Danio rerio: one gene and its partners. The protein of the gene in region 1 purifies or fractionates together with the protein of each later gene. This does not show direct contact. Links are inferred from orthologs where the notes say so. Each region holds a gene or a part of one and is shown in the gene's direction. Other genes may lie near its edges.

The links.
Region 2: the proteins of exoc5 (region 1) and exoc2 fractionate together in Homo sapiens (co-fractionation; 4 studies listed by BioGRID and IntAct, with this or other methods). This does not show direct contact. The link is inferred for Danio rerio from reciprocal best matches to the Homo sapiens genes EXOC5 and EXOC2.
Region 3: the proteins of exoc5 (region 1) and exoc1 purify together in Homo sapiens (affinity purification with mass spectrometry; 4 studies listed by BioGRID and IntAct, counting the BioPlex papers as one, with this or other methods). This does not show direct contact. The link is inferred for Danio rerio from reciprocal best matches to the Homo sapiens genes EXOC5 and EXOC1.
Region 4: the proteins of exoc5 (region 1) and exoc7 fractionate together in Homo sapiens (co-fractionation; 4 studies listed by BioGRID and IntAct, with this or other methods). This does not show direct contact. The link is inferred for Danio rerio from reciprocal best matches to the Homo sapiens genes EXOC5 and EXOC7.

What each region holds. Positions count from the first base shown.
Region 1 is NC_133192.1:49,417,217-49,422,286, reverse strand, and holds part of exoc5 (exocyst complex component 5), read left to right. Parts: intron 1-2,085; coding exon 2,086-2,233; intron 2,234-4,540; coding exon 4,541-4,735; intron 4,736-5,070. UniProt on the Homo sapiens protein: Component of the exocyst complex involved in the docking of exocytic vesicles with fusion sites on the plasma membrane.
Region 2 is NC_133195.1:29,290,698-29,295,767, reverse strand, and holds part of exoc2 (exocyst complex component 2), read left to right. Parts: intron 1-286; exon of another isoform or gene 287-707; intron 708-959; coding exon 960-1,076; intron 1,077-3,510; coding exon 3,511-3,652; intron 3,653-5,070. UniProt on the Homo sapiens protein: Component of the exocyst complex involved in the docking of exocytic vesicles with fusion sites on the plasma membrane.
Region 3 is NC_133195.1:28,538,178-28,543,247, reverse strand, and holds part of exoc1 (exocyst complex component 1), read left to right. Parts: intron 1-3,231; coding exon 3,232-3,431; intron 3,432-5,070.
Region 4 is NC_133187.1:48,857,621-48,863,378, forward strand, and holds the start of exoc7 (exocyst complex component 7), read left to right. Parts: upstream 1-1,895; 5' UTR 1,896-2,005; coding exon 2,006-2,065; intron 2,066-3,230; exon of another isoform or gene 3,231-3,282; coding exon 3,283-3,348; intron 3,349-4,488; coding exon 4,489-4,673; intron 4,674-5,758. UniProt on the Homo sapiens protein: Component of the exocyst complex involved in the docking of exocytic vesicles with fusion sites on the plasma membrane.

The sequences.
Region 1 (5,070 bases):
ACTGTGAAAATACATAGTTTTTATGATTATGTGTTTTTCTACTTGCAGTTTGCTTGAAGTTTCATTAGCTATTACAATATTATAATTTTATACTTATTTGGAAATGCATTTGACACCACATACAGCTAAAGACAATGTGATTAGCACTCCTATAAAGTTTTAATTCTTTAAAAAAATATTTGCCAAGTGAAGTTTAAAAGAGCAATGCAATTTCTCACAGTATTTCCTATAATATTTCCTTCTTCAAAGTCTGATCAAAGTCGGCAAAGTTTGTTTGGCTACAGAACAAACTGCTGTAATCTATTGACTTCCTAATTACCTGAACTTGCCTAGTTAAATTAAATTAATTAACGTGGTTAAGCCTTTAAATTGCACTTAAAGCTCTATACCAGGAGTGCCCAAACTTTTTTCTTATAAAAGGCCAAAAACTGAACTTGACAGAGGTCTGTGGTCCGAAGGTAAATATACCAAACTGTATTACATCAAAGTTTTCATGAGTAATTTCCTAGTTTTTAAAAATAACTAGAAAACATTGCTTTAAAATTGTATTAACTAATACAGTGTCATAAAAATCAATTATAATGAATTTATTACAGTAAAAACATCAACAATCCCAATTATAACACTGAATAAACTAAGCTGCACATGCCTTTGCCTTGAGTTTTTTGACGATATCTTGTGCAATTTCCACCTTCCATCGAGTGACCGTATTTACATTAAAAAAATCAGAAACAAAACAGATTACAGAACAAACAGAAGGTTGCATTAAATTTAAAATGATGATCTCTGTTCAAAATATTTGCCCCGACCACCTCTCCATCATTCTCCCTCTCTTCTCAGATGGGACGGTGGGTCAAATCAAATGATAGCATGGGCCAAAAGACAAGTACTTATTAAAAATACTCCTAGCAACCAGTAAGAAAACTGTGACTCGAAAGTGGCTACAATTGGAACCCCCTACAAAATCTGAATGGTTGGATACCATATCTATTGTTCAAAATATGGAACGGATTACTTTTTCTTTAAAACTACAAATGGATAAATACCTGCAATATTGGGAGAAATGGATTGTACTTATGCCTTTACACAGTATAATCTGATTTATATATGTATTTGTTCATGTGACCTGTAAGGAAATATGTGACCTGTCAACCGTTCATTTAAGTTCTGGTGCTTTATTGTATTATTTACTTAATTTTATTTTTATTTTTTAACCTACTTTTTGTATCTCCTTAAAAGAAATAAAATTAAAGTATAAAAAAAAAAAGATAGCATGGGCCAACTTTGTTCTGCGGGCCCTACTTGGGGCATCTCTGCAGTATACTAATGTCTTGCAACATGTATAGTAAAATATTATCTACTATCATCATTGTAACAACTGAAGAAATGCATTTTGTAATTGGTTACTAAAACTGTTTAAAATTTTGAAAAAAGTGTACATTTTCTTAAAGAAAATCTGACTGTTTAAATCAATTAAATGTTTTTTGTATTGTCTCAAATTAATAATGTTACATTTTGCTCATCCTATTAATAGTGTGACCAAATCCATATAGTATTTAATAGTATTTTGTTTATCAAAGACTTTATTTAATGTGTCTTGTTTAAATATAATTATTTCTTAACAAAATCTTACTAAACCTTCCAAAACATTCTTCTTTTACATCATGAGTCTAAACCACAAAAAATGTTCCAAAAAAAATTGCACTGACCAACCAGATTTACTAAATCCCTTTTCACCCATGTTCATTAGTTACAAAGCAAACCTAAATGTTATGTTTAAGCCAACTTGTAAGGCTTATGGGACATGTATGTAATAATAAATGATAGTGGTAATATTGCATTCATGTACTTTGTGTCTGTTGGCACACTTTTACGTTTTAGAATATAGAAGTGTTGTGACACATAATTAGGTTTTTGCTGCAAATATGACATTGTAAATGGACTTCAGGGGAAAAAACGTAATGCCACAAATTGAACTGTAGGTTCATATTTGCTTTAAAGTGTTTAAAGTAATATAAATGCTTGTTAAGTCAGAAATTGTCTTTTGCTGCCTGCAGCTCTTTAATGTCAAATCTTTTGTTCCAGGTTGCTGGAAGAGTTTGTGAACCACATTGAGGAACTAAAACTGCTGGATGAAAGGATCCAGAGGAAAGTGGAGAAGTTAGAACAGCAGTGCCACCGTGAAGCCAAGGAGTTTGCTCACAAGGTTCAAGACCTTCAAAGGAGCAACCAAGTCAGTCGTCTTTACATTTGTTTGCATTTGTTTATTTTTTAACCTGTCAATAGGTGTTTGAGTAACTATGTGTTACGTTATCATGAATGACGTTAAGGCCTAATTCAGATTTATACCTCTACGCCTTCCCCTTGGCCCTTAAAATAGAATGTAAAAGGGTTGGGATGAAAATATTCCCCTAATGGTTCGTTTCCACTGAGTGGTACAGTATGGTATGGGACCAGTCATCTTAATTAGGCTTGCATATCCACTGCCAAAAGGGTACCAATACCAATTTGGTGGGTATGGTGTAAGACAGAAAGTTTCAATGTCATTCTCGCTCTAGGAGATTTCAAACTAAAGCTGTACGGGTCATTCACATATCATACAAGAAACACATCTCACAAAACAGATGCTTTATACAGATAAATACTTGTGTAGAAATGTTCATTACTTAACCTTAATATGAATATGATTTGATTATAACTGCATATCAATGATAAGGCAAAATAGCCTACTTTAATGTCTGCAATTATTAAAAAAAATTTAAATAAATGCAACATATTTGAACACATACAGCCACTTATAATCTCTGATACAGTATATTACCAAATACAGAAAAGCTACACACAATTGTTTAGTCCTCATTTGGGTTCAAAAACAACACACAACATACAGCCCACAGTCAGTGCAAACCTCTCATCTGTATCTTTATTCTTTACCAGCACATTTAATTTCGTCATTTCCAGTTCATAATAGTCCAAAAGCCGATGATAATAGTTAAACATGGCAGTTTGTTTATGTTTTAGTTCGCTGAAAGAAGCATTTGCTTCTTTGTATTTTTTTCTGGCTTCTCCTGTTTTTTCGCACATCACTCTTACGTTTGTCTGTTCCTGAAAGGATTGGGTGTCAGAAGCACTTTAATAATCGAGAAAGCAAAACCGATCGCATTTTAGACGGCCTTGTAAACGACCACAGGGCAAAGGGTGGATTCTGCTCTTTTAGCTATGTCGCTGTTTATCAAGATGATGACAAGGTTTGTTTGAGCTCGGGTCAACCATGGCTCATGATTATATGTATTTTATTATTACGGTGTATTATCTCAGCTGTGTATTTAAAAATTTTGTTTCCTTTGTTTTCATTCTTCTGCTTGTCCACGAGGTAGTGCACGTCTTGTTCCTCCTACTGGATCCTTTTGTTGTGCTAGGTACCCTTCTGAAAAAATACCCAAAAAGTGGTACGGTTTGCTTTTAGGTACCTTTTGACTGTGGAAATAGTGTACCGTACCACACCACTGAGTGGAAATGGGCCATACAAAATGGGACACGACTATTACTACTACTATTACTACACACACATGTATGTCTTCACTAGCTCATACATCACATGAGCTATTGTCTGCAGTAGTCATTTTAGAAGTGTAAGCACAGTAATGTTTAAGAGATGACTTTCTTAAAAGTTTTTTGCATTGTGTTTGGAAGTAAGCTGTTCATTTTCAGCTCTAAAGTGTATGAGCCTCAGGGTTACTTCAGGCTTTCCTGTTACTTGGGTCGTGTTGGAAGAAGCACAAAACTGTATTGTGTGTATTGTCACAGTGCTCGTATGGATCTAACCACAAAAAAAAACCAACATTAATGTTGTACCGTACATGCTGTAGAAAAGCTAATTTCCTGCCACCAGACTTTTCTGGGCAGCCATGGTCTAATGGTTAGAGAGTTGGACTTGCGATTCAAAAGTCGCAGGTTCAAGTCCCGGTACCAGCAGGGATTGTTGGTGTTAAACTCCACCTCAATACCATGGTTGAGGGGATTCCCTTTGAGCAAGGCACCGAACCCCCAACTGCTCCCCTGGTATGTGTTTATGGGTGTAAGTCGCTTTGGATAAAAGCATCTGCTAAATGCATTTTAAAATTGCAACAGTTATTAAAAGAGTCGATCCCTTTTTAATTTTGTTGTTTTTTTTTTTTTTTTACATAAGATCATGACCGTAGCACATTAACACCATTATGACTGTATATGTTGTGTGTCAGATACTTGTTTGCAGTAAAAATAACTTGACATTTTGAAAATTTCTTTTTACATTTATTGGTCTCCTTGCTCTCTTTTCCAGCATGTTTTTCTGGTGTAGCTTGTAATGCGGTTCTGAGAAATCTCAATTTGCAGGGCTATATATCACATACCCCTACCCCTATACATCCAAGCAAAAGAGATATTTGGACACTCCTTCAAGTGAACGTGTGTATTGAGGTGTAGGGGAAAGTGAAAGGGCTAAAGGTAAATGTGTCTGTACATGTACACTGTATAACCTCCACTTTCTTGTGATTCAAAGGTAGCCTTCCAGCACTTCCAGGAGTTGGATGAGCATATCAGCTATGTGGCTACTAAGGTGTGCCATCTGGGAGATCAGCTAGAAGGAGTCAATACCCCGAGACAGAGGGCAGTGGAGGCTCAGAGACTTATGACATACTTTAACGAGTTCCTGGATGGAGAGCTGCGCAGTGATGTATTCAACAATCCTGAAAAGGTCAGATTCAGACAGACTGCCTAGTTTTACTATATCAAACAAGAAACACATTCAAAAAAACCTTTTTTGTTAAAAAAAAAGTGTTGCAGTCAGTTTAATTTCAAAAACGGGGGCAAGGACACAATGTTAAACATTCTATTCTGTACTAACTATTTGCATGATTAAGGTTAAAATCTTTAAATGAAACTCTGTATATCATGAATATATATTTACAGAGACCTCTGATGTATTGATTAAGAGATTGAAGATAATGTGTCATATTGCTAATGCTTTACCTGATAGATTTGCTGACAGATGATGCTGACACCTATGTGCATACATATTTAACATTCAGC
Region 2 (5,070 bases), on another chromosome or scaffold:
CAAATAGAGTTGTAAAAATATTATTTGTTGTACTTTCCCATTTACTGGGCTCTAAGACCCAGCTTTAACCAACTGTGTCATTTTCCGTTACTGAGAAACCCGTATATGTGAAAAGGGTCTATACCAGGGTTGTGCAAACTTGATCCTCGAGGGCCGGTGTCCCTGCAGAGTTTTGTTCCAACGCTAGTCAAACACACCTGAATAAACTAATCAGTGTCTTCAAGATCACTTGAACTCTATAGGGAGGTCTGTTTGAATAGGGTTGGAGCTAAACTATGCAGGACACCGGCCCTCCAGGATCAGGTTTGCCCACACCTGGTCTATACGCTCAATTAAAAAAAGCAAAAAAATATTATTAAAAATTACAGTTTCAAACAGTTTCAAACAACATTTGAAGTGAAAAGAAAAACGTTTATGAAAATTGTATTAAACTTTTAAACAACAATCATTCTTATTTGAGAACTATTTTGATCATTTTGTTTGATCCAGTTCAAATGTTGACTACTATATAGTATATTATTCATTATAAAACAATGGGGGGGGGAAATAAATAAATAAAGTACCACTTGAAAATTCTCAATTTCTCTGTATTTATTAAATATGGGTTTGAGTCAAATGCTAATATTTGTTTTATGCATTTAATGTTTAATAACCTTCCTTCCAAATTAACTTAAAAATATTGTCATTTAGATTTTTTTTCTTCTTCCAAAAATAAAAGTAGGGCAGAATAACAAATGTTTTCATTAACTGCGATCAAAGATCAGCGCTATTCCACCGAACATAGATTTCTTTTGTTGATTACTATTGTTTACTCTTCTGTAACAAAAAATACATTTGACTCAGATCCTATGATTAGAAGCTGGTAGTTTTCAGGTAGTCTCGTTCTTCCTCCCCCTTATTATTACCTTACTGTTAAATATGAATTGGTTTCTTATGTGTGTGGGTTTTATTTTCTGCAGGAACAGCGTCTTCTCATCATTCTCAGTAACTGTCAGTATCTGGAGAGACACACATTCCTCAATCTAGCAGAGCACCTGGAGAAGAATGGCTTCACCATGGCAGACAAGATCATTAGGGTACAAATACACTTTCCTGTTCCCTTTTTTACTTCAGTCCACAGTTTTAAGCACCTTAACAGATGTGTTTCTAAGTTCTGTTGCTGATGTTGTCTTTTACTGAAGTGAGAATGACTCACACAGTCTGAGGAGAAGCTCAAGGGTTTTTCGTGGTGGCATTACTACTCACTCAGTCGGCAGCCAAGAGGGTGAAGCCCTCGCAAAAGGTTATGGTTACCTTTCCAGTAAATGCAGATGGTTTTGATGAAGATCATAGAGAATGTAATGATGAGAAGACTTGCTGTGGCACATAGAAGAGCTTGATTACTCATAGAAGAGCTTTAGCGCTTGATCCCAAACTGACCTGCTTATAATAAAGTGATAGTTCACGCCAAAATTACGCTTACTCTGAAGTTACTTATCAAAGTCAACAGGCACTCTCAACTGTCAGCTTACCAACATTCTTCACAATATCTTCTTTTGTGTTCATTAATGAAATATTCTGTAAATACAAATGAGAAATACATTTTTTATTGATCATTTATCAGAAGTTGTCTCATTGCATTAAAGTATTTGCATACACCTCTTACTCTAAATGGTGATTCACTCTGAGACTCAGCTTAACTTTATTCAAATTAAAGTGATGCAGCAATTACCAATGGTAGTGCAGAATGCTACAGATGTATTCTACAGATTGATTGTCTATTAAAAACCAGCAGCTTATAGATTATTGTTAAATGTGCATAGTTTTGTGCTACAAGTATGTTAGAATCGTGCAGTTTAGATGGTTAGTTCACACAAATAATAAAACATCAGTCATTATTTGCTCACTCTGAGGTTGTTTCAATGCTGTGTGCCTGCCTTTTTATTTGTTTTCAGACCACAAAACACATATCAATTCAAACAAATATCCTGCGTGTGCTTTTAATGTTAATGAGAGTGGACTGAGCCAAACCATAAGGTCTTTTGAAAAACAATGCAAAAACGTATGTGCTTACAAAAAATTCTTTGTTTTTTTTCTTAAGTTTTTATGCAAGTCAGAAGTAAGTCTTTTCTTTAAATTCTCATGTCAAACCTTGAGTCTTTGCATTTAAGTATCGTATCCTCAGTCAACAAGGGCAAGTACAAGTCAAGCTGAACTTACACTGAGTGAGGAATCTGTGCCATATAGGGATCAGAATATTTATGCATAGTGGACATAAATGCAGCAAGCACTTAGCATACCCTAGTAACTGCAAAGCTGCACACTACAAAATAAAAACACTGATACCATTAAATAGAAGCATTCTGGCAGCCAGGCACAGCATATTATTTTTGCATGGGCAGGACCTTTTCAATGTTTCTGAATAATTTGGAAAAGAAGATTGAGATGTTGATATCTGGTCTTTTAATGAGATCCCAGAGGTTTGTCCCCTATTGAAATGGTGCTTTCCATTCTGGTTTTTTTGAAAACGTCCCTAAATCTTAGCACATGTCTAAATAATGGACATGCATGAGTGGTCTCTACTCATTCTGCAAGAAGAGTGCGAAGGGGGATGATTGTTTGTGATGTTAGTGATTATAGTTTTTCAAGTGTCATTTACAGGAAAGAGTCTTGTACAGTATGTAGGGCTGCATAATAATTTTTGTGCTTTTATTAATTAAGAGAACATTAAATCTTTGGAGGGTTTATTTTACCTCGTCTGTTTTCCAGATTTATTATATTGATCATACATTATACTTTGTCTACATCACAGGTGTCAAGCTCAGTTTCTGGAGGACAGCAGCTCTGCACAGTTTAGTTCCAGCCCTAATTAAACACACCTGATCATACTAATTAAATCCTTCAGGCTTGTTTGAAACCTACAGGTGAGTGTGTTGGAGCAGGGTTGGAACTAAACTCTGCAGGGCAGGTTTGACACCCCCTGGTCTATATTATGAAAACTGGTATAATTTTAAGTAGCCTCCTGCAAAAGCTGATACAGTTTCTAATAGTAATGCCAATAATTCCAAATTATATTCAAGTTTACTTATAATTGTAGCACAAAAATAGATGCATAAGCAAATTTATTTAGAGGATAGTCAAGATTAATGTTTGGATTTATGGCATTAATTACAGATGAACTATCTGCAAAAAGCACCAACGGCTTTGTGAAGTTACAAATACTGACTGTATATCACTGTAATTTGAGCAGAGGACTGCAGTGAAGACTGCTAAACTCTAGTGACCATCATTCATTCAGTTGGAAAGTAAATTCAGTAGGAAAAATTCAGTAGGAAAAGGTAAATAAAACTTGTGCTTATGCTTTTTAAAATCTCAAAGAAAGAAGATATTTTCAGAACAATTAAACAGAAGGTCAAAATTATGATTCTTAATCAAGACAAGCTGAAATACAGATCACAGTTACAGAATAGTTTTTTATATGATCTGTGAAAAGGGGCAATGGTTTGCGATTAATCTGAACATGTTCTTCAGGTCAGCATAGATGCGCTGAGACAGCTGGATTATGATCTGTTTGAGATGTACATCGAGAAGAAGTCTGATCCTATCGTCGGCTCTCTGGAAACCGGGATCTACGCAGGTTATTTTGACTGGAAAGACTGCCTGCTTCCTACAGGTATCGTGTTTTCTGGATGCTGACAGCACTCTGTGGATGTTTCTCGAAGTTTACATTTGCTATTTGAATGTTAAAAGTGCACCACCTTGAAGATGGTACTAATAGAGAAACATCCACACGTTAGCTGTTCTTGATTCTGCAGTTTCAGTGTGTTGTCATTGCTTTTGTGTCAGAGTTTCAGTCGTGGTTGTGTGCCTGTGTGTATATTTAGTTTTTGTGGTGCAGACTTGAATTCTATTGGCTGCTAAATCATTTGGGTATTGCAAGAGCGTTTCCTGCTTCTGAGTTGTTATATGAAGAACTTGGTGATCTGTGCAAAATCAACCATTTTTCTTTCACCACTGCTCATGTTTAGTTCTGATCACTGATCCGTTTGAAAAACATATTTATCTCCGAAATATAAAAATATAATGCACTGGCATGAACTAATGTCACCGCTGTTCATCAGAGTTTTTTAATATGGATGTATTTAACAAGAGATGGTAAATATGTTTATAATTCTACAAATGATGTCTATTTGAGATGATTTTAGTTCTTTTCAAGGTTATACCCTGAACAATGATGTATTACCACAAAAATATTGAGCATCGCACTTGTTTTAAAAATGTTAAATGATAAAAAAATTGGCAAGTATGCAATAAAATAATATTATAGACAGACTGACAGACAGACCCACTGGCCACTTTATTAAGTACACCTTACTAGTACCATGTTGGAGCCCCTTTTGCCTTCAGAACTGCCTTAATCCTTCGTGGCATAGATTCAATAATGTACTTGATATATTCCTCAGAGATTTTGGTCCATTTTGACATGATAGCACCACGCAGTTGCTGCAGTTTTGCCTTCTGCACATCTATGATATGAATCTCCAATTCCATCACATCCCAAAGGTGCTCTATTGGATTGAGATCTGGTGACTGTGAAGGCCATTTGAGTATAGTGAACGTTTTGTCATGTACAAGAAACCAGTGTAAAATGATTCGTGCTTTATGACATTTCGTATTATTCTGCTGGAAGTAGCCATCAGAAGATGAGTAAACTGTGGTCATAAAGGGACGGACATGGTCAGCAACAATACTCAGGTAGGCTGTGGCAGTGACACAATGCTCAATTGGTACTAATGGGTCCAAAGTGTCCCAAGAAAGTATCCTTACACCATTACACCACCAGCCTGAACCGTTGATACAAGGCAGGACGGATCCATGCTTTCATGTTGTTGATGCCAAATTATGACCCTACCATCTAATGCTGCAGCAGAAATCAAGACTCGTTAGGCAACGTTTTTCCAATCTTCTATTGTCCAATTTTGGTGAGCCTGTGCAAATGTAAGTTTCCTGTTCTTAACTGACAGGAGGGGCACCTAGTGTGGTCTTCTGCTGCTGTAGCCCACCTGCCTCAAGGTTGGACGCGTTGTGCAT
Region 3 (5,070 bases), on another chromosome or scaffold:
GGCGATTATTCGATATCGATAATTATCACGATATAAAATTTTTCGATAAAACGATAATGACAGTTCGATAATTGCTCGATAATATTTACACACTATGCGTAACGTTGCGCAAGGATTTTGCAGCCTGCCCTTCCGGATGCCACACGCCGTACAAGTTTACAGCCATACAGTGTTAGTTGCACTGAAAGGAATAAGAAAGAAATAAGGTAAAAAAGGTCAGAGTCACAGACATTGTTGATAAGAAACATCACTAGACTTCATGTGCTACTTAGTTTTCGCTATCCGACACAAAACAGAGCAACGTGCACCGCAAACTGCTTAGATGACTCGTGTCATCAAATGCAGGCAACACCACGACCTGTTTCACCATGTAAAACAAGACCACCCTTATAAAGATGCTAAGAAATTACAGACATTAACAAGTGTTGGCAAACCAGCGCAGCTACCCAGCAGAGTCTCATTTCATTGTTTTCGAAAGCCGTGCTACGAGAACCCCCCTCCCCCCCCCCCCCCCCCCCCCCACGGGGGAGGACAGACGCAAGACATGACAGACGACACAATCTCAATCACATCTCAATGAACACTTGATGCTTGCTTATAAATGCAGCAAATATATGACAGACGTTTACAACAGCAGTGGATCATTAATTAAATAAATTTTTTTCACTGAACGAGCGAAGCATCATTCACCCGCAGTTGTTTAAGGCGGGCACGAACTAAATAAATATAAACACATTTTCAAGGAAATATATCTTTTTGTAACGAATTTCGTTTTGTATAATGTGTAACTTAATTTTGATGTATATTTTGTTGGTCATATCTACAGCATAAACAAGAGGAACGAATAACATTTAAGTTGAAGCGCTTTAACACAAGCCTGCTATATGCTTCAGCGCCAAAACAATCCATCAAACTATTTTCACGGTTTCATTTTAATTCATTAACTAATCGCAGTCTGAGCAGCATGAACTGGACAGTCTTTTCGCAGCACTGATAGATTTTTTGGGTTACCTCGGAAGAATAAACTTGGATGGAGCTCAGAAGCTCGCTGTGTTAATGGAGAGGCTCCCCGGCTGGCTCCCCGCATGTTTTCGTTGTGATGCACGATTTGTAAAATGAGAATTTGTCTGTCAGACAAATTTGGTTAAAATACGCGCGGATATATCGGAGATATGCGCATAACAAGGTTTTATGCGACCTGCAATATGGGATGTCAAGAGAGTGACAGCATAAGTAAGGTAAACTGCACACATTTGATGATGTAATGCGTGGATGCGTCTCAGCGCAAAGCATAACTAAACCTTTACATGTTCATGCTTAATCAGTCATCGATAAGGTCTATCAATTAAAGCTTTATCGACAATAGATCAAGTAATCATTAGCATCCCTAAATAAAATACATTAATGTATATTTCACCCTAAATTCACCATATTCACCATTAAAATGAGTTAATCCAAAACTGAAAATTATGTGACTTTTAACTCACGTTGTTCCAAATATTTTTTTTTTTCTGATGTTGAAAAATAATATCCAATAACTTGTAGGTAATGTCTTTGGTTGTTGAAAACTTGAACAAGTAAATGCTGAATTAAGATTGTTATTTTGTTTATTATTTATATTGTCAGACAGCTAAAACATTTCACTAATTGTGTTAAATCAGCTGCACAAAGCCATTGGCAGGCTGAAAATCTTATATAATTGATAGATATAAAGATTTTACATTTATTGAGATAAATATCGATATCGACTGATATGAAAAAAATTATCGTGCTAATTTTTTTTGCCATATCGCCCAGCTCTACTTTGAAGTTGCATTTAAAACATATAAAATATACCTATAAAAATCCAAAATAAACTGCAGCTCTTTCAGTAATTTATTATTCACTGAAAAACATTACAGTGGGTTGATCAAAGAAGCTTGACATATTCAAAAGACTTTAAGAGTTCACTCAACTTAAAATTCTCTCATCATTCACTTGTTTCGAACATGTTTGTCTTTTTTTGTTTCTGAAAACTAGAAAAATGGATATATGAAACAAAGCATAGGACTGATCGGTCAGTTCTTGTAGCGTGACTCTTGGTTTTCATCTGGTGCGCCTGGAAAAAATGCTCAGAATATTTGTGCGCAATCCGCCGCTTCCATTGGAAAAATGAACTTGGAAAAAAACACGATATGTGAACGGCCCCATAAGCAGTTAGTTTTCTCTTTACATTCATAAGATGCCTTCACTCCCGATCCTGCACAAAAATTCAATTTGTTTAGGCCGAGTTGTCCAGTGTGTTCCTTGATGACGAGTATTGTCATAGAATGGTTTCTATTCAAGCGCTTGAACAAGTTGCTGGTCGAATTAAAAGCAGTGGAAAGTTCTGGGCATAGACTTGTTTTTAGCCTCAATGAAATCAAAGTAATGTCTGTATTTCCACTTGAAGCAGTATGTAGCAGCCATTTCAATTTGCTTTCTCAAGCTTTTTAAAAGCGAATGCTTATTAACAGATGTTACAGCAGAAAACGGATTTAAAAGAAGCATTTTTTTCTTCTAAAGACTGTGTTTGTATCCTAATGCAGTGCCATTGAGTTTAATCACTGTAATTAAATAACACAAATTTAAAATGTAATTCGTTACATTAATGCATTCCCCAAAATTGTAATTTGAATACAGTAATGTGCTACTATGGAATGCGTTACACCCAACTTTGGTATTTAGTATGATAAAACAGCACTACTTTTTCCCCACATTATCACAACCAGAAGAACTGGACGCAGTATACTATGGCATAATAAAACGTCTCTTCTTTTGTGCCGCATCATGTTCGTTTTACATCAGCAATTAGTTCAGTGCTTTTGTTTTCCTTTGACTGCTTTTAGCCTTATTCTGCGTCATATCCCATGATAATAAGTTTTGGATACTTTATCTTATCCATGTAATGAAGACAACAGCTGCAATGATTCAACACAAAGTCACAGTGTCATAAAACTACGCCTTTGTTTGTTGTGAAAATGCACCCTCTAGTGATGAAAATAATATATTGTCCTTTTAATATGCTACTTTTAAAAAATAATGGGAAAATGAAAACATTAAATATTATATATAGTTATTTGTTTAAATTTGTAAAGACTTTTAGTAATTGTTTATGTGCTTTTGTAATTTTAAAAATCAGGTTCAGATGTTGAATGTTGCAGTTCTTCAGTCTTCTTTCATATCTGATTTGTCTGTTTTGTTTTTGAATAGTGGAGAAAGTGGCCAATGAGAGCCAGAAGACTCCACGCGATGTGGTGATGATGGAGAACTTTCACCACATCTTCTCAACACTGTCCAGCCTCAAGATCTCCTGTCTGGAGGCAGAGAGAAAGGAGGCCAAGCAGAAATACACCGAACACCTGCAGTCCTACGTCATCAACTCACTTGGTCAACCGCTAGAGAAACTCAATGTGAGGAAAAAATCTTTATCGCAATCTGGAATGAGCAGTATTTTATCTACCGCAAGAATTTAATTAGAAAACTTAAACATGTTTGCATTATAAACGTTTACATTTTTTATTAAAGAAATCATCTAATTTATGCACCCTCGAGTGTTTGCAACCCGGTTTGAGTTTCTTCTTTCTGTTAAAAAGAAAAGAAAGTATTTCTGAAGAATTTTGGAAATCTGTAGCCACTGACTTTTTTGAGAGTTTTTTCACACTGTATTATTGAGCCATTGTTTTCCATTGTATGACAGTGAAATAATATACTGTAAAACTTTAAAGGGCTCCTATTTTACCCTTTTTGTAAGAGAAGACTTTTGTGTCTATAAAGTTTTAGCTCAAAATACCCTCCAGATTAATTATTATAGCCTCCAGAATCTGCCCATTTTGGTGTCTAAGTGGCTTTGGTGCCTGAGGCTTTGAATTCAAATGAGCTGCTTCTTCCGACCCACCGCTCCACTTTACGTCAGTTAAACAGCTGTCAGTGATGGAGACAGACTCGGATGAAGCTGAAATAAGATCACTAGTTAAAATTACCAACTAAGTTTATTTGATGTATTTATGGTGGAGTTTATTTAAGCCTTATTACAAACACGCTCTGTTTAAAAAATGTTTCAAACTTATAAAATTATTTATTGAGGTGCAGCTGTTCATAGAGACTTGAAACAAATTTTAATCCCAGTTTATTTGCAATAAATGTTCTGTAGACGTGTATACGTGTTATTGTGGAGACATGGCAAATGTCAATCCGGTGGGCGGGGAAAACCGTCATGTTGTGGTGAGCCTCAAAATTGCTGTGTTTGTTTGCAAATGTTTCCTACATTCCTCACAATATCTTTTTTTTGTCTTTAACGCAAGTAAAAAAAACTCAAATGGGTTTGGAACAAGTAAATGAGGACAGAAAGTTTTATTTTTGGGTGAACTATCCCTTGTTTATGTGGGATTCACTCTTAAAAGTCTTACCTCATCCTGGCAAGGGCAAACCAGTGTGTTTTTTTTCACATGACAACTGTCATAATTTAACCAGAGTTTGGGTTAACTATTAATCCTGATAATTTCGTTTTTGATGTCTCAAAATGAACATTCCTAAACATGAGGTAAGTGTATGTACTTACATATTTGTAGCATCAGTTTTACTGATTGGAAAATGAAGCAAGCAACCTTTTAACATAAAAGACCACCTCATTATATATTGCAGGCCACTATAAAATGACTTTTCAGACTATAAAAAGTATTAAGAGTATTAAGTGTATTAAGAGGTCTCCTTTTCGATAGTTCCCTCGCCATTTGACATTTTTGATACAATGCAAATTGTTTCTATGACCATTTAAGGCATGTGAATATCAGACGTGATTGGCTTTTGCTAAGCTGTGATTGCTAAACTTCTAGCCATAACATCCTGCATTGTATCACACCAGACAGCAATGCAGGGTTAAAGGCACAAAATGTAAAGTTTATTCATTAAAGTATTCAGTAAGTCCAAAAGTGATCAAAAGTGATCAAACTGTTGTTTATTGTGAATATGAAAAATGTCAATCTGTGTCTATAAGAGTGCTATAGAGCAGAGTCCAATGCTGACCTATTTTAATATTACAAGTGTGAAAGT
Region 4 (5,758 bases), on another chromosome or scaffold:
CTAATAACTGATTTATTTTATCTTTGCCATGATGACAGTAAATAATATTAGACTAGATATTCTTCAAGACACTTCTAAACAGCTTAAAGTGACATTTAAAGGCTTAACTAGGTTAATTAGGTTAACTAGGCAAGTTAGGGTAATTAGGCAAGTTATTGTATAACAGTGGTTTGATCTGTGGAGACTATCAAAAAAATATATAGCTTAAAGGGTCTTATAATATTGTCCTTAAAATGGTGTTTAAAAAATTAATAACTGCTTTTATTCTAGCTGTCTAAAATACAGTATTGCAATATCAGATTTTTCCAATATCGTGCAGCCCTACTATAAATAAATACAATTTATATCTGATTGTGTATGAACTCATGTGGTCTTGAATATGTGAGTGTCTGTGAGTAACGTTGCTTTCTCTTTCAGGCGGTGGTGATTTTGGGTGTGGTGTTACAGGGAGCTAATCTGTACGGATATGTGCGCTGTAAAGTAGGAGCCCGAACAAACCTGAAGAACATGGCAACAAATTACTTCGGAAGGCAGTTTCTGAAACAGGTCTGTGACTTATTATTACAAGTCATCTTAAATATCTTCTTCAAATCATCCTAGTTTAATGAAAAAGTACGTGACGTTGTTTATGTTTATTGCAGGCTTTCACAAAACAAGAGGAGTCTTAAAAAGGAGCAGACCTTGAGAAATCACTCATCAGTGAACTTTTATTATGTTATTTTATAAAACAGACTGATATTAAGTGAGCTAAAAGGGTCACTTGGCTGAATTGTGGTTTTTTTTTTCCTTGTAGTGTAACAATCACAACCTGTTAACTAATTCTTTAACATTTATAGATATCTTTAACTTTATATTATGTTTTTTTTTAAATAATGAACTTAACAGAGTGTTTTGTTACTTAACGTTGCATGACACCATGCATTACGCTTCTGTTTTGTTGACAGATGTACATATTTATATACTGCTGTAAATTATTTTTGGAGGAAGGGGAGATTGTGTGCTTTATGAAAGTTTATGATTGTGTCATATTGAGTGAATGAAAAAATAAAGAGAGTGTCCTGACATTTTATCCTACTTGTCAGAATATGCTACCAACACTGTGTTTGAATGGTTCTGAGATTGGGGTTAGGGATTAGGTAGGTTAGGGTGATATTACAGCTTCATATGACACTGCTCCACATTAACATTTACACTTATAGCAAAATCTGATGGGTTGCATACTACCTACTTTTTGAATGGGAGGTAGGACAATCTGACAGCAGGAGCCTCCCTAAATCTCTGACCAGACAGTGAAGGTGAAGCAACTATCACACCATCAGGTTTTTTCATCAAAATAAGAGTCCCATGGATTTTGAAAGCACTCGTGATTAAAGCGTTGCTTGGTGCATGGTTAAAGGTGTATGCGTTCATGTGTTTTGATTTAGTGTATGTCTTTATTCAACTTTATTTTGTATATAATTTTGTTTGGTAAGGATATTATAAAAATTAAGATCTTATGAATACATATATTTAGTAGTCGTTAACTAAATATATCCCTAACAACTTCAGTCTCGAAGATTTTGAGAAACTTGAATTGATAATAAATTGTTATAATCGTAAAAAAATATGCATTTATAATATGTAATTTTACTGTGTATGTTACTACAATTTGGTAATATGTATAATATAAGTATATACAGTTGCGTTATAAATACTGTATATAAATTGAATATCACTATGTTTCTTGTCATTTTAGTAGTTATAAATTCCTGCCGCACTTCATTTAAGTACACTTTTTACCTTTTTGTCGTCATATATGTATTTCTTTTTAATAGTGAATATTGTTTTGCTTCTGTTTCATTTGATACACTTGGTTCAGAAAGGACTTTTATTTTGTACTTCACTGGCTTCCGTTTGTGTCGTGTTGTTTATCGCTGTCTTCGGGTTAATGTTGTAATATTATTGTGTATTTTACATTGGTCCGGACGGTCCAGTTGTATTTTCCATCGTGTTTCTGACCATCAGGATGATCCCAACCGAAGACGCGTCCGCCAGAAAGCGGGAGATTGAGGAGAAACTCAAACAGGTCTGTTAAACAGAGGAAAAACGGGAAGAATGAAGCATAACATGAGAATCCCGTGATCTGACAGTGTTATTTATGTCATTTGCGATTTAACTAGCGTCATATCTGCTTGTTTGCCTGTCACAAAGATTATTGAAAGCTGAATAATAGAGATAAAATAAGCTGTTGGGGCGTACAAAATGTGTTATTAAGCAAGACACTGCAGGTGAAAAGAGTAGGGAAATCAACACCCAGCTGATTGATAACATTAAGAGTTGCAAACATTTTTCGATTACAAGTTTTTTTGTGTCATATAAATGAGTAATTAATTAAATAATGACGTAATTTGCATACATCTCAAGCATACAAAATGTAAACAGTAATTTTGTACAAACATAAAAGCTTGTTCTTAAAAAATTGTTTTGAAAAGGAATTTTTTTGGTGGGACAGGTACTAAATTCCCAAGGTTACTTAATGAATTTTTATCACATTTTAATTTTCCTGTGTCCTAAATAGAATTTGCAATGGTCTTTGCTGCTATTCCCCTATGTATTGTTTCACTCTGTGAAGGTTACTCATATTCAGGAAATATCTCTGTTACACCCTAAAGATACACTATGTGGGAAAATTTGTTTTTCTTCTCACCAAAATAAGGCCATACGTTCATTATTTCATTCACTCATAAATAGTAAACCCTAGATAATTTCTCATTGGTCTGCGTTCATCAGAGATTTAAATTGGAAAAAATTATGGTCGTTGCCTAACAAATTATTTATTACAAACAAATTTAAAGAGGTCTCATTTAAAATTCTGAATATATTTTACCCTGTCAAACATTTTCTTTCAATGTTTAGACATAATATAGATCAAAACTGTTCAGTTTGTTTATCACAGCCAGAAACTGTGCCGCAGATGTTTTGGAATTGCCAGTTATCGAAGAAAATAGGGTACGAGATAAATGACCAATTTCATAAATGACAAATTATTGACAAATTTCCGTTTAGAATAGCAACATATTATATTTGGGTTTTTGAACTACAACAAAAAAAAAATAGAGAAGAAAACTTATGTTAATAATTTCTTGATAATATTTAGAAAGTACCATATTCACAGATGCAAATTTCATAACCAAAAACCATTTTATCCTGCTATATGAATTTAACTAAAACACTATACAAACAACATAAAGCACTAATAAAAAACACATGTCTTGACCTGTTCATTGTATCTATCATCTACAGGAGCAAGAAACGCTTTCTTTTATCCGTGAAAGCCTGGAGAAGAGTGATCAGCTCACTAAAGGAATGGTGAGAGATTTATATTTATATGAGTGATATCACACTCATAGCAGTGTGATATGGCTGTATATTGGCACTGGTAGGAGGCGTGTGTTGGCTCAAGGCCGCAGACAGAGTATCTTAATGTCACATGATATACAGCCATACCACACTGCTATGAGTGTGATATTGCATTTATACAACAGTTCAACCGCATAATTGTGTATATAACAAAAGAGAATTCGACATGGAGAGTTTCAAAAATCCTTTTGTATGAGGAACTACTTTCTTCCGCCGTTTATTCACATCTGCAGCTGACGTCAGAACAGTAGAAACCGCTGCTCATTCACCAACGTCACTTTAGAGCTAGTGTTTGAGTGATTCTCTTGCGTAATGTCTAAAGTGATGACAAAACAGCTGATTTTGCACACATTTTAAGATTATAAAGCTGAACGGCATGAAATGCCATCAGTCTACAAAGATATCTCCCAGTATTTCTCTATTGCAATTGGGAGATCACTGTAATTAACCCCGAAAAAACCAAAGCAAAGCAAACACTACCAGATTACTATGGTATAAATAGAGCAATACAACAAACAAAAGAGAGATTGACTTAGAAAGTCACTTGGCTGTTCTGTAAAGATTTGTTTAGCTTTAGTTTGAAATATATGCTAACACCTAAGGGCTAATTATTAGGTCTATTTATTAGGGTAAAAGGAACGTCAACCGTCTTTGCTCTGCTCAGTATGACAGGCTGATGACTGCCAACGTGTTGAATCTGCATGCTCTTAAATTCAAAATATTTAAATAGGCACTATCCTTATAAATAAACTGCATAGTTGCAATCACAACAACTACATTCTCGCCTAAAAAGGCTCAAAAGTACATTATGTTGTCCAACAGCTGCAGTATTTGTCAAACTGTTGTCCTCCTTGCCACTCGTGCCACTACTCAGCCAATCAGATTGAAGAACCAGAAAGAACTGTTGTATAAATGTGAATAACACTAGTGTGTCATTCTGGTTCGATCATGTAAAGTCAGTGCTCAGCAGTGTTGTACAGTGATATTTGTTTTACAAGTAGCTTTTTTCCTAATATATCCATTGTAAGTATTATTTTGTGGTTGGTATTTGTGAATGAAATGGTGAACGTGTGTTTTAATTTGTTTAAGGTGTCCATCCTGTCGTCATTTGAGAGTCGTCTGATGCAGCTGGAAAACTCCATCATCCCGGTTCACAAGCAGACGGAGAATCTGCAGCGGCTGCAGGAGAATGTGGATAAAACACTGTCCAACATGGATCACGTCATCAGCTACTATCACGTGGCCAAAGACACTGACAAGATCATCCGGGAAGGGTTAGTGATCACCTATTCAATGGTTTATTATTATTATTATTATTCATTCATTTTCTTTTCGGCTTAGTCCCTTTATTAATCGGGGTCGCCACAGCGGAATGAACCGCCAATTTGTCCACGCATGTTTTATCCATGTTTTACGCAGCGGATGCCCTTCAGCTGCAACCCATGTCTGCGAAACATCCATACACACTCATTCACACTCGTACACTACAGACAATTTAGCCTACCCAATTCACCTGTTTTAGACTGTGGGGGAAACCGGAGCACGCGAAGGAAACCCACGCGAAGGCAGGGAGTACATGCAAACTCCACACAGAAATGCCAACTGACCCACCCGAAGCTCGAACCAGCGACCTTCTTGCTGTGAGGCGACAGCACTACCTACTGCATCACTGATTATTATTATTATTATTAAAAGTTTTAATTTCACTTTTTGCTTGATTCTGATTGGCTGATGAACATTCTACAGCAGGGGTCACCAATCTCGCTCCTGGAGGGCCGGTGTCCCTGCAGGGTTTAGCTCCAACTTGCCTCAACACACCTGCCTGGATGATTCAAGTATACCTAGTAAGACCTTGATTAGCTTGTTCAGGTGTGTTTGATTAGGGTTGGTGCTAAAATCTGCACAGTGTACAGACAAACGCACAGCTAAAGCAGTTCCGGCAGGTTTTGGGTTCATTACAGCTGCATTTGACCACACCAAATGATTTTAGTTATTTCACAGCTACAACAGTCAAAAATCACATCACAGCACAACAGAAGGCTTTAGAGGAGATGTGGAAGAAACTAATCCTACACACAGGAGCAGTTTGAGGTCAAAAACCTGACCGATTTGTAAAATATAACATCTTAACAGTGGCTTTAGCTGTGGAAACCAGAGTATATGCGGAATAATTGACACCAGTGCGTTGAATTATTAGAAAAATTGAACCACTTTAAATTTTGACTGCAATTTATTACAGATAAAGTACATGCAGGAGGTTATTATCACAGATTAAACCCCAACATATTTACCGGCAGCCAGACTCAAAGCAGAACACTGTTGAATAAGACTAAAAGGCTTCATTCTATGAAAAACAAAC